Linked DNA regions of Saccharomyces cerevisiae S288C. Changing the gene in region 3 together with the main gene of any one other region gives a genetic interaction. Each region holds a gene or a part of one and is shown on either strand. Other genes may lie near its edges.

Evidence for each region. A genetic interaction does not mean that the proteins touch.
Region 1: of PSP1 (region 3) and MYO1, extra expression of one rescues a mutant of the other (dosage rescue), as found in Saccharomyces cerevisiae (one study listed by BioGRID).
Region 2: mutations in PSP1 (region 3) and CMR1 impair growth when combined (synthetic growth defect), as found in Saccharomyces cerevisiae (2 studies listed by BioGRID, with this or other methods).

The regions. Positions count from the first base shown.
Region 1 is NC_001140.6:149,932-157,665, forward strand, and holds MYO1 (myosin 1), read left to right. Parts: upstream 1-1,734; coding exon 1,735-7,521; downstream 7,522-7,734. Other genes in the region: YHR022C (uncharacterized protein), read right to left, coding at 1-414; YHR022C-A (uncharacterized protein), read right to left, coding at 1,286-1,375. UniProt on the Saccharomyces cerevisiae protein: Required for cell division.
Region 2 is NC_001136.10:173,148-176,986, forward strand, and holds CMR1 (Cmr1p), read left to right. Parts: upstream 1-1,770; coding exon 1,771-3,339; downstream 3,340-3,839. Other genes in the region: mitogen-activated protein kinase kinase STE7, read left to right, coding at 1-881; DMO2 (Dmo2p), read right to left, coding at 1,085-1,441; B-type cyclin CLB3, read left to right, coding at 3,626-3,839. UniProt on the Saccharomyces cerevisiae protein: DNA-binding protein that binds to both single- and double-stranded DNA. Binds preferentially to UV-damaged DNA in vitro. May be involved in DNA-metabolic processes.
Region 3 is NC_001136.10:1,456,098-1,461,030, reverse strand, and holds PSP1 (Psp1p), read left to right. Parts: upstream 1-1,810; coding exon 1,811-4,336; downstream 4,337-4,933. Other genes in the region: GMC1 (putative oxidoreductase), read left to right, coding at 1-1,303; SPG3 (Spg3p), read left to right, coding at 4,337-4,720. UniProt on the Saccharomyces cerevisiae protein: DNA polymerase alpha mutation suppressor.

The DNA of each region.
Region 1 (7,734 bases), on a different chromosome or scaffold from region 3:
AAGGTACGAAACCTCCATTTGATTGGTATCAAAAACTTGAACATCAATACTGGTGCGTCTTTGAGCAGTCGATTTATTGGCATTGATCAGGCGCTCTTCTAGGAAATTGCCACAACTTTCATAAATTGTGCCAGAGTTTTTAGCTTTGAAACCCGCATAATTCGGCAACTGTCCTTTTACGCCAAAGGTACGATAGTATTTTACCAAAGTATCAAATTGGATTGTCTTGTGGTAGAGGTCCGAAACCCTATAACGATTAGCATCTGATATTTGAAATGAACTACCTAGCCAACTGCGAACCAGAGAAGTTTTTCCAGAATGATCATCCCCCATTACAGTAATCTTCGAAGATTTCAAGTCGAAACATCTTGGGATTGACGCAAGGCTTGCGCCGTATGATAAGCGAACACTCATAGCGTTTGACCTAATACGGTATAATTAAAAGAAAAAAAGACAAAAAAATAGGATAGCCAACACAGAGCAGAACCTTAACAATTTCTCTAGATACAATTTACATGCTCAGCGTTTCTTTATATACATTCTCCCTGTATATATTCCTTTGAAAATTTCTTAGATTTTTTTGAAATTAAATAATAAGTAACGAGCCAAGATCGTTAAGGTAAGTACTTGAAAAGGATTTTTCAAAGAAGGCAAGCATAGACGATCTCTACGACATTTTTTTTTGCCCTTGATGTTCTTATGAAAAACAACTTCTACAAGTTGTACTTATCAGAAGTGCAAAAAAAAAAAATTGTTTAGACGACAAAAATAGCGTTTAATAATCAAGGTCATGGCTTTTAAACAAAGCGTTAATCTTAATCCCTATATCTCCTCTAAAATGGACGTAGCTTTTACAAAGGGATATTACGCTTGAGTATCCCTTTTGAAGATCGTTGCACCATTACGTATTAAAGCATTTTTTTTCCTCCGTCAAGATCTTACCCGAATACTGCTGCAGGACATACAAAGCGCACTGACATGACGCAGGAAGATTGATTAGAACCGTCCGCAAAATTTTCTTTGTTACAGCATTAGTAACGCATCACCTCCTTCTCAAGCTAGGGCACTTTTAACTCATAAAGCGACACATTGCCTTTTCAAATATTGTAGCTTTTCAAATCACGCAATGGAATATTTGCAGCATTCATTGTTCCGTCAAAAGTAAAATTTATTTTTAGTACTTCAACGTGGAAGGCAAACCTTGCCTTATACCTTTACATGGATGGTTTTATGCTATTGTGAAACGAAGTCAAAAGGCTAAACAAAAAGATAAAGGAGGGGCATATTATCGGACCACCTCGTATAGCAAGAAAGGGTACTTATCAAAAGAAAAGGTCGCTGAAAATCGAGCCCCTCTTGAGAATTTGATTTTCATACATATCCCTTTTCTCTTCCGGGTTAAAGCCTTTACATAAATGTGTCATTGTATAGCATTACTTTTTTTTTGGTGTGAAAAAAAAATCGGAAAAATATTCACAGGGTAATGCTGAGATAGCTTTTCTTACCCTCCTTGGAATTTGGAATATTTCGAGATTTCATCATTTAGCCCAAAAGGGTAATTGCGTAAACATTTGTAATTTCTTGGTGTATTTGTTTTGATTGTTCATTGTTTATGACCAGCTACTTTATTCATACTCTTCCACACTACTTTTTTTTTCTTGATTACATCTCGAATCCTGCGAACTTCGTGGTTAGAAGATCATAACAAAGTTAGACAGGACAACAACAGCAATAATGACCGGCGGGCAGTCTTGCAGTTCTAATATGATCGTCTGGATACCAGATGAGAAAGAAGTTTTCGTAAAAGGGGAGCTGATGAGTACCGATATCAACAAGAATAAATTTACAGGCCAAGAAGAACAAATAGGAATTGTCCACCCGTTGGATTCCACAGAGGTTTCTAATCTAGTGCAGGTACGAATATCCGATGTATTTCCAGTTAACCCATCGACTTTTGACAAAGTAGAGAATATGTCTGAGTTAACCCATTTGAATGAGCCGTCTGTGCTTTATAACCTAGAAAAGAGGTACGATTGTGATCTAATATACACCTATTCCGGCTTATTTTTAGTGGCGATTAACCCTTATCACAATTTGAATTTATATTCTGAAGACCATATAAACTTGTACCACAACAAGCATAACAGGTTATCAAAGAGCAGATTGGATGAAAACTCCCATGAAAAACTGCCGCCGCATATATTTGCAATTGCAGAAGAAGCCTATGAGAATCTTTTATCTGAAGGAAAAGATCAATCTATTTTAGTCACTGGTGAATCCGGTGCGGGCAAGACAGAAAATACGAAAAAGATTCTACAATATCTAGCATCTATAACTTCTGGCTCTCCTTCCAATATAGCTCCTGTTAGTGGTAGTTCTATTGTAGAAAGCTTCGAAATGAAAATTCTACAAAGTAACCCTATCTTAGAGTCTTTTGGTAATGCACAGACTGTACGAAATAACAACTCTTCAAGATTCGGTAAATTCATAAAGATAGAATTTAATGAACATGGTATGATCAATGGTGCGCATATCGAGTGGTACCTTTTAGAGAAATCAAGAATTGTTCATCAAAATTCGAAAGAAAGAAATTATCATATATTTTACCAACTATTATCCGGTTTAGACGATTCTGAGTTGAAAAATCTACGCCTTAAATCTAGGAACGTAAAAGATTACAAAATTTTATCCAATTCTAACCAGGATATTATACCAGGAATCAACGACGTAGAGAATTTTAAAGAACTGCTCTCGGCATTGAATATTATTGGGTTTTCAAAAGATCAAATAAGATGGATATTTCAAGTAGTGGCAATTATTTTATTAATCGGTAACATTGAGTTCGTATCAGACAGAGCAGAACAAGCATCTTTCAAAAATGATGTTAGCGCAATTTGTAGCAATTTAGGCGTGGACGAAAAAGATTTCCAAACTGCCATATTAAGGCCTAGATCAAAAGCCGGAAAAGAGTGGGTTTCACAGTCCAAAAACTCTCAACAAGCTAAGTTCATCTTGAATGCCTTATCAAGAAATCTTTATGAGCGGTTGTTCGGATATATTGTGGATATGATTAATAAAAACTTGGACCATGGGAGTGCAACTTTGAATTACATTGGATTGTTGGATATTGCTGGTTTTGAAATATTCGAAAATAATTCCTTTGAACAATTATGCATCAACTATACAAATGAAAAATTACAGCAGTTCTTTAATAACCATATGTTTGTTTTAGAACAGAGCGAATATTTAAAGGAAAACATTCAATGGGATTATATAGATTACGGAAAAGATTTGCAACTGACGATTGATTTGATCGAAAGCAAGGGGCCACCGACCGGTGTACTACCGTTGTTGGATGAGGAAGCCGTTTTGCCCAAATCCACTGATGAGTCATTCTACTCTAAACTGATCTCAACTTGGGACCAAAACTCTTCAAAGTTTAAACGTTCAAGATTAAAAAATGGGTTCATTTTGAAACACTATGCTGGGGATGTGGAATACACTGTGGAAGGCTGGTTATCCAAAAACAAAGATCCTTTAAACGATAATCTCTTGTCTTTGTTGTCTTCTTCACAAAACGATATCATTTCAAAACTGTTCCAGCCAGAGGGCGAAAAATCTTCTAGTGCTGGTGTGGAAGCCAACATCTCCAACCAAGAAGTTAAGAAATCAGCTAGGACAAGTACCTTCAAGACTACATCATCACGCCATAGAGAACAGCAGATAACATTACTAAATCAACTAGCTTCTACCCACCCACATTTTGTTCGTTGTATAATTCCAAACAACGTGAAAAAAGTGAAAACATTTAACAGAAGGTTAATCTTAGATCAATTACGTTGTAATGGTGTGCTAGAGGGTATTAGACTTGCCAGAGAAGGTTACCCAAATAGGATAGCATTCCAAGAATTTTTCCAGCGGTATAGGATCTTGTATCCTGAAAATTCAACCACCACGACTTTCAGTTCTAAATTAAAAGCCAGTACCAAACAAAACTGTGAGTTTCTTCTAACGTCTTTGCAACTGGATACAAAAGTTTATAAAATTGGTAATACTAAACTGTTTTTCAAAGCTGGAGTATTGGCAGATTTGGAAAAACAAAAAGATGTTAAGCTGAATAATATTATGATTAAACTAACAGCAACTATACGAGGTTACACAGTAAGAAAAGAAATAACGTACCATCTACAAAAATTAAAGAAAACAAGGGTGATTGGTAATACCTTCAGATTATACAATAGACTGGTGAAGGAAGATCCTTGGTTTAATTTATTTATCAGGATCAAGCCACTTTTAACATCATCCAATGACATGACCAGAACCAAAAAATTCAACGAGCAAATTAATAAACTGAAGAACGACCTTCAAGAAATGGAATCTAAGAAGAAGTTTTTGGAAGAAAAGAACCAAAAAACTGTCAATGAGTTGGAAAATACGCAGGACTTGCTAAATCAGGAGAAAGAGAATTTAAGAAAAAATGAGAGCTTATTAAATAGAGTTAAAACCAGCTCAGAAACATTACAAAAACAATTCGATGACCTTGTTTCTGAAAAGGATGAAATTAGCAGGGAAAAACTAGAAGTTGCGCAAAATCTTGAAGAAGCTCATCAAAAAATCCAAGGCCTTCAAGAAACTATTAGAGAACGGGAGGCGACCTTAGAGAAATTACACTCAAAAAATAACGAACTAATAAAGCAAATATCAGACTTGAACTGTGACATTTCTAAGGAACAGAGCTCCCAGTCTTTAATCAAAGAATCTAAATTGAAGCTAGAAAACGAAATAAAGAGATTAAAAGATGTCATAAACTCGAAGGAGGAAGAAATAAAATCGTTCAACGATAAGTTAAGTTCCTCAGAAGAAGATCTTGACATAAAATTGGTCACTTTAGAGAAAAATTGTAACATTGCGATGTCAAGACTACAATCCCTTGTAACAGAAAATTCAGATTTGCGTTCGAAAAATGAGAATTTCAAGAAAGAAAAGGCAGCACTGAATAACCAGTTGAAAAATAAGGAAAGTGAACTGTTAAAGATGAAAGAAAAAATAGATAATCACAAAAAAGAGCTTGCTACTTTTTCCAAGCAAAGAGATGACGCAGTTAGCGAACATGGTAAAATTACTGCTGAACTAAAAGAGACAAGAATCCAACTTACCGAGTATAAATCTAACTATCAAAAGATTAAAGAAGAATATTCCAACTTCCAAAGAGAAACGAAGGAACAGGAGCAAAAGAAAAGAAATAGCCTGGTTGAGTCTCTGAACGATAGTAAAATTAAAGAATTGGAAGCTCGGTTGTCACAGGAAATATCCTTAAATCAATACTTAAACAAAAGAATATCAGGAAATTCTGTAGAAACGAATATTTCGTCTACTAGACGTTCCACATCGTATTCAGATGATCCACTTGACAAAGAAGATATAATAAAAAAATACTATGACCTTCAATTAGCGTTTACTGAAATAACTAGGAATCTAGAGAATGAAATTGAAGAGAAGAAGAACTTAATTTCTAGATTGAGATTCACTGAAACAAGACTAGCATCTTCGTCTTTTGAGGACCAAAAGATTAAGGCACAAATGAAGAAATTAAAAAAATTGATCCAGGATATGGACCCTAGTATTCCTTTGGACAGTATTCTAAATGAGCCGCTAGATAACTGCCCTGACAAAGAGTCTGATATTAACAAATTAATGCTTGAGGTCGATTATTTAAAAAGACAATTGGATATCGAAACAAGAGCTCACTACGATGCAGAAAATGCCATATCTGCTTTACACAGTAAATTTAGAAAGATCCAAGGGGAAAGCTCCCTGTCATCTTCTGATATTTACAAACTGAAGTTCGAAGCCAGTGAAGAAAGAGTCAAATCCTTGGAAGACAAGCTAAAAACCATGCCTTTACGTGATCGAACAAATTTACCTGTCGGAGATATTATAAAGAACCGTGATAGCATTTCAAAATATGAAGAAGAAATTCGCTATTATAAACTTGAAAACTACAAGCTCCAAGAAATATTAAATGAATCAAATGGAAAATTGAGCCAACTCACTCTTGACTTGAGGCAATCAAAATCCAAAGAAGCCCTACTTAGTGAACAATTAGACAGATTACAGAAAGACCTTGAATCTACGGAACGCCAAAAAGAACTACTATCATCCACAATAAAACAGCAGAAACAGCAATTTGAAAACTGCATGGACGATCTGCAAGGGAATGAACTGCGGCTAAGAGAACATATTCATGCACTAAAACAAGCTGAAGAGGACGTAAAGAATATGGCGTCTATCATTGAAAAATTGAAAACTCAAAATAAGCAAAAGGAAAAGTTAATCTGGGAGCGCGAAATGGAAAGAAATGACTCAGATATGCAATTACAGGAAACTCTGCTGGAGTTGAAGAGAGTCCAAGATGTAAAGAAAATCCTGAGTGATGATTTGGCCCATTTAAAGGAGCGATTGAGCGCTGTAGAAGATAGATCCCAATATACGGATGAGATTAATAGATTAAAGGAAGAATTGAACTGCTCTTTAAAAGCTGAAACAAACTTAAAAAAAGAATTTGCAACCCTTAAGTACAAACTGGAAACTTCGACTAATGATTCTGAAGCAAAAATCTCCGATCTGCTGAAGCAGCTCGATCATTATACAAAAGTGGTGGAAATGTTGAACAACGAAAAAGATGCTATTTCTCTTGCAGAAAAAGAACTTTATCAGAAATACGAGGCACTCAATACTGAATGCGAGTCTCTTAAAGGAAAGATAGTGTCTTTGACTAAAATCAAGCAGGAACTGGAATCTGACTTAAATCAAAAGACTGATGCGCTACAGATATCAAACGCAGCACTCTCAAGTTCCACACAAAAGAATAAAGAGATTACTGAAAAAATCAAATATCTGGAGGAAACACTACAACTGCAAATGGAACAAAATTCAAGGAATGGGGAGTTGGTTAAGACATTACAGGCCAGCTGCAATGGATATAAAGATAAGTTTGATGATGAGAAGCAGAAGAATATTGATTTATATGAAGAAAATCAAACTTTACAAAAGCTCAACACCGACTTACAGCTTCAACTAAAAAATTTGCATGAAAGATTATCAGACACTACTGAAAAAAACGCATGGTTATCAAAGATTCATGAATTGGAAAATATGGTAAGCCTAGAAACGGACTTGAAATATGAAGAAATGAAAAAGAACAAGAGTTTGGAGAGAGCAGTGGAAGAGTTACAAACTAAGAACTCCCAACAAACAGATGTAATAGAACTAGCGAATAAAAATAGAAGCGAATTTGAGGAAGCTACTTTGAAATATGAGGCTCAAATCTCTGACTTAGAAAAGTACATTTCTCAACAAGAGCTTGAGATGAAAAAATCCATTAGAGATAATTCTTCTTACCGCGACAAAGTGCAGGAAATGGCCCAAGAAATTGAATTCTGGAAAAGCCGTTATGAATCTACCATGATAGGCTCGAAAAATATTGATAGTAACAATGCACAGAGTAAAATTTTCAGTTAACGAACTTTTTTTTAAAAATTTGGAAGACTTTATATCCTTTATTTAAAAAAATAATGATGAGATGTTTTGTATATACAGAATGAGAATATGCATTATTAACAGAAAAAGACGACACGAGCGTTATATACTAAGTGGCATGAACTCTTTCACCCCGTATCCTTCGATAGTAGTCTTAAAGGTGGTACATAAAATAAAGAAAATAACCGATTCAAT
Region 2 (3,839 bases), 1.3 Mb from region 3:
CTGTGGAACAGAATAACAGTACAATCATCAACCAATTAGTTAGGGAATTATCTATCGTCAAAAACGTTAAGCCCCATGAAAACATTATCACCTTCTATGGAGCTTATTATAACCAGCATATAAATAATGAAATCATAATTTTAATGGAATACTCTGATTGTGGTTCTTTAGATAAAATACTGTCCGTTTATAAAAGGTTTGTTCAAAGAGGGACTGTTTCGAGTAAGAAAACCTGGTTCAACGAATTAACAATATCAAAAATAGCGTATGGCGTACTAAATGGCTTGGATCATTTGTACCGACAATATAAGATCATTCATCGTGATATCAAGCCTTCCAATGTTCTGATTAATAGTAAGGGGCAGATTAAGTTATGTGATTTTGGAGTTTCCAAAAAACTAATAAATTCTATCGCTGATACATTTGTTGGAACGTCCACTTATATGTCACCAGAGAGGATACAAGGAAACGTTTATTCTATCAAAGGGGACGTTTGGTCATTGGGCTTAATGATCATCGAGCTGGTAACTGGAGAGTTTCCCCTAGGTGGGCATAACGATACACCTGATGGCATATTGGATTTGCTGCAACGTATTGTCAACGAGCCTTCACCAAGATTACCCAAAGACCGTATCTATTCCAAGGAAATGACAGATTTTGTCAATAGGTGTTGTATTAAGAATGAAAGGGAAAGGTCATCGATTCATGAATTGCTACATCATGATCTTATAATGAAATACGTATCACCGTCTAAAGATGATAAATTTAGACATTGGTGTAGAAAAATAAAATCTAAAATAAAGGAAGACAAGAGAATTAAAAGAGAAGCCTTGGACCGTGCCAAGTTAGAAAAGAAACAATCGGAAAGATCAACCCATTGAATGCATGCGATAACATTAGTTAGGAACATATTGCACTTTTTTTCACATCCCTTTCTCAAAGCTATATTCATATATATATAGACTCTCCTGATTATGTAAATCACAAACCAATTTTCTAATGTAACAATATTTTTAAAAATAATCATCAAAGTAGCACTTTATGTACAGAAAATTTCACGATTGAGAGAAGCTTGCGAATAATACTAGTTAGCCTGTGTTTCACCATCGTTACTTAATTTCTTATAGTTCTTATATTCTTTATTTTTATGCCACAACCAACCTTCGGTTCCTCTAACGAAACCGAAGGCGATTAATAACCCACCGAAGCTACGTAAAGTTACTTTCCACCATTGTGGGTTTCTTTTTTCAAATTCAGTCAGAGAAATGCCTCTTTTGGCTTCTTTTTTACCATACTTGAATGGTTTCCCAGATGCCAAGTATGAGCCAAATCCAACAGAAAACATAGTGCTCATGACTTGACAAGGAACGCAATCCATAGTCTCTTCTTTTTCCAGCTCCCTTTGTGGTGGAGGGTTGAACACTGCCAAAATATTACTCATTGTTTTTCACCACTTGCTGTTTCTCTCTAAGCGGTGTTTTGTTTCCTACTTGGTGGCACACAATGACTGTACTCGCTTTATATGCTCGTACCTTTTTTCAAAAGCCCATCGTTAATTTTTCACCCGAGGACCCCATATTACGCGTTTTTTGTTAATGTTCAATTTCTGACATGTTACAATTATAATAACGCCAAAAGAGGTAAATGTATATTTGAACAATTGTTAAAGAGAAGATAAAAACCCTTTAATCTTGCATTTGTCGTCAATAGTACACAATAGGCGATCTATTTTAGTACGGCAATTAAAAGAAAGCTGCTTTTCAGTCAAGAATGCCGGAATTAACAGAATTTCAGAAAAAACGTTTAGAGAACATCAAAAGGAATAACGATTTATTGAAAAAACTCCATTTGTCTGGAGTAGCATCTCAAATTAAGCACGAGGCTGGGGTGTTGGAAAAATCTAGAGCTCCTGCAAAAAAGAAACAAAAAACAACTAATACCAGAGCAACCAAGTCTGCGAGTCCCACTTTACCTACACGAAGATCAAGAAGGCTAAGGGGTGAGTCTGCAGACGATGTGAAAGGAATACCCAATGTGAACGATAATCAGTTGCTTAAAATGGGTTCTCCAGATGGCCAGGATAAGAATTTTATAGACGCAATAAAGGAGAAACCTGTAATAGGAGATGTGAAATTAAGTGATCTGATCAAGGATGAAGACGAAAGTGCCCTTTTAGAGAAATTCAAGAGGTTTAATAACGGAAACTTTTCTTCTGGTGATTTCTTTGAAGAAATAAAAAAGAGACAGGGTGACGTTACGGGGATGGACGAATTTGATTTGGATCTATATGACGTTTTTCAACCGAACGAAATTAAGATTACATACGAAAGAATCTCTGCCACTTACTTCCATCCTGCTATGGAAAAAAAGCTAATAATTGCAGGTGATACAAGCGGTACTGTGGGTTTTTGGAACGTTAGAGATGAACCACTAGCTGACAGCGAAGAGGACCGAATGGAAGAACCCGATATCACCAGAGTGAAACTATTTACCAAAAACGTCGGCCGTATTGATTGCTTCCCTGCGGACACATCGAAGATATTGCTCACCTCTTACGACGGAAGCATCAGGTCAGTTCACTTGAATAACTTACAGAGTGAAGAGGTTCTCACCTTGAAAAATGAATATGACGATTCACTGGGTATCAGCGATTGCCAGTTTAGCTACGAAAACCCAAATGTTTTATTCCTCACCACATTAGGTGGTGAATTCACCACGTTTGACACAAGAGTAAAAAAATCAGAGTATAATCTGCGAAGACTCGCAGACAAGAAGATCGGGTCTATGGCAATAAATCCCATGAGACCCTACGAGATTGCCACCGGATCACTTGATAGAACACTCAAAATCTGGGATACAAGAAACCTTGTTAAAAAGCCAGAGTGGTCACAATATGAAGACTATCCCAGTCATGAAATTGTCTCCACATATGACTCAAGATTGAGCGTCTCTGCAGTTTCTTACTCACCGACAGATGGCACCTTAGTGTGCAATGGCTATGACGATACCATCCGCTTATTCGATGTCAAGAGTAGGGATCACCTTTCTGCGAAGTTGGAGCCCAAACTAACGATTCAGCACAATTGCCAAACAGGAAGATGGACAAGCATCCTCAAGGCCAGGTTCAAGCCGAACAAGAATGTTTTTGCAATAGCTAACATGAAGCGCGCCATCGACATATACAACAGCGAAGGCCAGCAACTGGCTCACCTACCCACAGCTACTGTCCCAGCTGTAATTAGTTGGCACCCGCTGCGAAACTGGATTGCAGGTGGTAATTCTAGCGGCAAAATATTCCTCTTTACTGATGACTCCGGAACCATAAAGCAGGAAGAATGAAAACATCTCAGTTACCCGCACTGCCTTTTTTCTCTCCCGCTTTTCAGCAGAACGAGGCGACAAGCGAAGGAACAAAACAAAACAAAAGAAAACAAAAATATTGAAATGCAAGAACATGGACACATAAAAACATTTTTGATCCGGTCGAAAGAAAACGATCAGAAATTTTTAGCTGCTTGCTTAGAAGAAAAGAAAAGAAAATTGCAGAGAAAAAGCTATTTATTGTTTCTGTCCTTCGCTTTAAAACATAGAGATATTTTGTCCTTTTTATCATTGCTTATTATAAATGCATCATAACTCACAGTCTTTGAGCTCTGGACACATCAGGAGCCCCGAGGATGAAAATGTGGCACCTATAGGTAATCTTAAACACAGGACTGGATCCCTCAGTCATATTTCATCTGCGCACCCGAGGGTCGCACTTAGCGACGTTACCAATATAGTTGCGACAAACTCTAGCAACAACAGCATAAGTAAGCCAAAAGTCGCCCCAATTAAAG
Region 3 (4,933 bases):
TAATTCTGTGAGAGACATAGAGACACTAGATGACGGTGTTGTTACAATGAAAAAAGATAAACACACGAAGGAATTGACGGATTATGAAGTTCAAGAAAGGATTATCACTTTGAGTGATTGGTATACCAATTGGAATTTGGACATTTTAAACGACAAGGTTTTGTCATCTACCGGGGGTACAGATCCCAAATTTGATGGATCATTAATAAATGGAAAATCATCTGACGGTGAAACTATCAAAATAGGATTTAACACCGAGTATCTTCTTTTGAGAATCGTAAACTCAGGAATGTCTGGTACTCAAGTCTTTCACCTTGATGGATTCCAATTAATTGTTCTAGAAGCCGACGGGATTATGATTAAACCGTTCATTGTACAAACGATAAATTTAGCGGTCGGACAAAGATATACAATTTTGGTCAAACTAAAGTCTGACACTAGTTTTATTCGTATGATTAATGGCTGTAACAAAATGATGGGTTATATAACAAAACAGTGGTGGTTTTACAAAGAAGGCGCTCATTTGGACCTACCAAAGAACCCCAATGACGTTTCCATCGAACACTTGCCTGGTTTCACTAAGGCCGAGCTTTATCGCGACATAGAACCAACGCAAGAAGAGAATAAAAAGTTACGCACAAAGGCTGATCCTGTTGCAGTTTTCGAATTCGATTATGCTTATTACAAAGATGAAAGCACGAAACAAAAGTATGGGACTGGGATGTATAAGGTGAACGAACGGACATTCAGCGAGTACGTAAAAGACCCGGTAAGGTTCGGATTCAACGAAACATATGATATTGTAATCAACTCACTGGACCACATGAGACACCCATGGCATATGCATGGCCATCACTTCCAGATAATATCTCTTGGCAATAAAGGTGATGGCCCATTTCACAAAGACGTACAAGAGGGCAAGGCATGGAGCCGCTATCAGAACGATTTACGTCACCTGGCCCGAACCGGAAAGGCACCGATGGTAAGGGATAGCATTAACATTGCAGGAAATTCTTACGCGGTTTTGAGAATTAACACCGAGATGCCCGGAAAATGGCTTTTACATTGTCATGTGGAGTGGCACATGATGAAGGGGCTTGGCATTGTCTTTGAGGTTCCGACAACAACCGAGGACAGTACCAAACAAGCAACTACAGCTGTATTATCGTACCCTACCAAGGAACCTGACCCTAACACTGTTGTCCATACAGCCGCACTTGAACAAAATAAGTCCAAGGTAATAGCCGTCTACATCCTAATCATGTGTGCGGTTGATGCTATCTTCTACTGGTTGCTCATGTAATCACATCCATTTCTCCCAACTCATTGCTTTTTTTCGCTTTTCCCACAGCCGTTTACAAGGCCGCAAAAAAGAAAACCCGCAAAGCTGACGGAAAAAGTATCGGCTAGCTTTCCATTGGCGACAATCGCCTCCGAGTGCGAAAACCTGTATTTCTCTGACTGCCGTAGGTCATATAGGATTGGGTCATAACGGTTTTTTGGAGACGAATCCTTCCCCTAATCGTGTTGGATAACATTACGGATCCGTGTTTTAGCTAAAGGAACAAAACAAAAATAAATAAAGGATAAGAAGAAGGATTCACTGATAATTAAGAGCTGTATTTTTCATTGGTTCGGCAGTTAGAAACAGAGATAGCATCAGTTCGAGTGTTCTTTGATATAGTAAACAGCGTATATAGAAAAGAATAAAGTGTATTGAAAGGCTCAAGAGAATTATAGAGAAAAAAACGAAGGATAAATCAAAAAAAGCGGTGTCTGATACAGTGCTCAATAGAAATACAGTTGCAAAATGGACCTCCCAACTGTTAATAGCACAACAAGCATTTCCGACAATGTGGATTTAAAGAACTACTATGAGGACTTGCTTTTCAAGAATAACAGCGGAAAATCGCTATCCGATTTACCCCGTAAACTGAATGATAACTCCAATAATTCAGGAAGTGATACGGTTGATCCGCTTGCTGGCCTGAATAATTTGAGAAACTCAATAAAAAGTGCGGGAAATGGTATGGAAAACAGGAGGACTTTTGACGATATTGATTTTATGGGTAGGTTTCCGTATTTGCCACCAGTGCCAAATCAACAACAGCAACCGTTTTCTCACCAGAACGGGTTCATTCAAGAACACCCTTCCAGTAATTTGACCTCTTTTCAAATGTCTTCGTCTAATTCAGAGCCGATGTCCGCACCGCCCATTTCATCCAATAACAATAATTTAAACTCTACTCAAATGGGTAATTATCAAGCTCAACAACGGTCGTTCCCGCAATTTAATGGAAATTCATTTCATTCAAATGGAAACGACCTAATGGGGAATCGGATGGATTCAGACTACATGCGTTTAATGAATAAAACAAACATAGGTTTTACTTCCAATAGCGGCAGCAATTTTGCTGCCCCATCACACAGTGCTGGCAACCCATCTAGTATGAACAACCAACAAGTACCATCATTTAATTGGCAACAGCCATCTCATCCAGAGTCTACCATTAGGAGATCCTCCTACATATCAGATACTCTAATCAACCATCAAATGCCTGACGCTCGGCAAAAGCAAACATCCCAAGTGCAGCAGCAACACGCTCAAGGTTTCAATCTTTTCAATAGCAGATTCAACTATGACAACTTGAACTCAACCCATTTGACCGCCAAAGGTGTGCCCGAGTTTGGAAATGGTGTACAACCTCCGTATCCTTATGATAACGAGCCTAATAATGCCAGTATCAGCAATAGTAATAACAACAACAACAGTCACAATATGGTTCCAATGCAACAGTTTCGCCGGAATACACAACCGGTAGCGAGCTTCAATCCATCCCTTCCTACTTTTCAACAACAACAGCAACAACCACAACAACCACAACAACCAAGAAACGTTAATGTACCTACTTCTTTCAATGGCGAACGTGTTGATGATGTTCAGCTTGTTCAACTTCAAAGAAGCAGTTCTGTCCCTTCTTCTACAAACTCACATAACCTTCAGAACGAGAACAGCAATGAAGGAAATGTATCTTTGGACAATGGTTTAGTTTTAATTCAGGGTAAACACTTGACTTCGTCCAAAACCTTACACGATTTATACAGCGACTGTGGCAGCGGCTATTTTGCTAGCTCTGCAGTTTTTGAATTCACAGATAATATTAAGAAAATGCTGAAGTTGCACGATTCTAATGAAAGTTACGACGCGAAGAACATGGGCTTAATCGATGAAGAAGGTAATACATACCAATCTTTATTAAATTTCTTGGACATTTTAAGAAGTTGCAACATGAATTACGTTAATGATCCAGAGTCGAATAATGGAATTGTTTCCAATAATGGAGGCAATAAAAATAGGAGGAAGGGCTCTTTCACAACAGAACTATCATGCAGGAATGCTAATAACTCCTTTTTACCTTATACACCATTGGTACTGGTTGCTTTGAAAAATGGGAAACTTGAACTACTATCTACTCCACAAGCTACCAATTTGTTGTTAAAGAGAGGTGACTTGGTTATTATTGATGGTGACCGTGGAAGGGATTTAGTATTGGTTGTTGAGCCCTCTGTCGATTTGAATTTAGCATTATTTATAAATTTTCTGAAAAAGAAAATTCACTTTGACTCTTTAATTACAAGTGAGTCACAGCACTATCGCAATGATGAGTTTATTCAAATGTTGATTGACTCAAAAAATGGGCAAAAGAAAAAATTAAATCCCAAATTGTATGATGTTGTTGAATTAACTGAGTTAATCATACCATCTAAACAAGTCTTACGTTTTGCCACCCCGTGGGAGGTAACAACGAATTTGCACAATAAATTTGAAGATGAATTAAAAGCCTTGCATATTGCTCAGAGTAAATTACAAGCGTTAAATGATAATTCAAAATCTCAAAATACAAATGACAGTTCTTCCAATAATTTTACGAATGCTGCAACTTATTCAAAGCCTAAATTGAATATCAAGATTTTAAACGCAGAATTCCAATTTGATAGAAAGAAATTAACGTTTTACTACGTTTGTGAGGAGAGAAATGATTTTAGAGACTTGATAAAAGAGCTGTTCAAATATTACAAGACAAGAATTTGGTTGTGTGCCATCCCGAATAATCTGTCTATTGATTCTAAGTATTATGATAAACAACAAAAAGAGCTGAAATTATATCAAAACATAGTAAAAAATTACAATGCTGAAGATTTAATGAATGTCAATGAGTTTTCGCAGAACAGGGGGAATAACAGAGTTAATTTTGCACCTCCGTTGAACGAAATTGAACTCGACAACTTTCAGATTGCTGTGTATGAAGAATTAGTTCACGAATTATTTCATTAAATGATCTGTTATTTCCTTGTTGTAACTATAAATTTTCTAAAAGAAAAGACAACCATTTGCCATTATTTTGTTAACATTTTTTCATTGTTTTTGTTTTTGTTTGTTTTTGTTTTTGTTTTTATTTTTGTCTACTTTTTTTATGTTATTTTGTTTTATCGTTTCTGTTCGTTGTTTACCTATTTTCCTGCCAATTCAATTTGGTACTATCTTTCTATTATCAATATTTTCTTTCCCTTATGTTTTTTTCTATATGAAAACTTCACAGGGAGAAATAGAAGAAAATGTTCATTATTCTGTTTAACTTTGATAAAAATTACTTATACGTCTCCCAATCATGGTTTCATGGTCACTGGTAAGGAAAAATTCGAAAAACTACGGGACTAAAAATTTTTTAAAGATTGTCCATATTCCTCGATCCACACTTTCAAGTTTGAGATTTATTGTTGGCAACTTTCTTACATTTTTGTTGTTTCAACTTCTATTTTATATTCTAACAGCCGCTTCCATTTATTTTTCATAGGCTTTATATAAAAAACAAAAAATAATGGAATCAACCAACCCTTATAAACTTATATGTAGTTTACATTTAATCAAGGT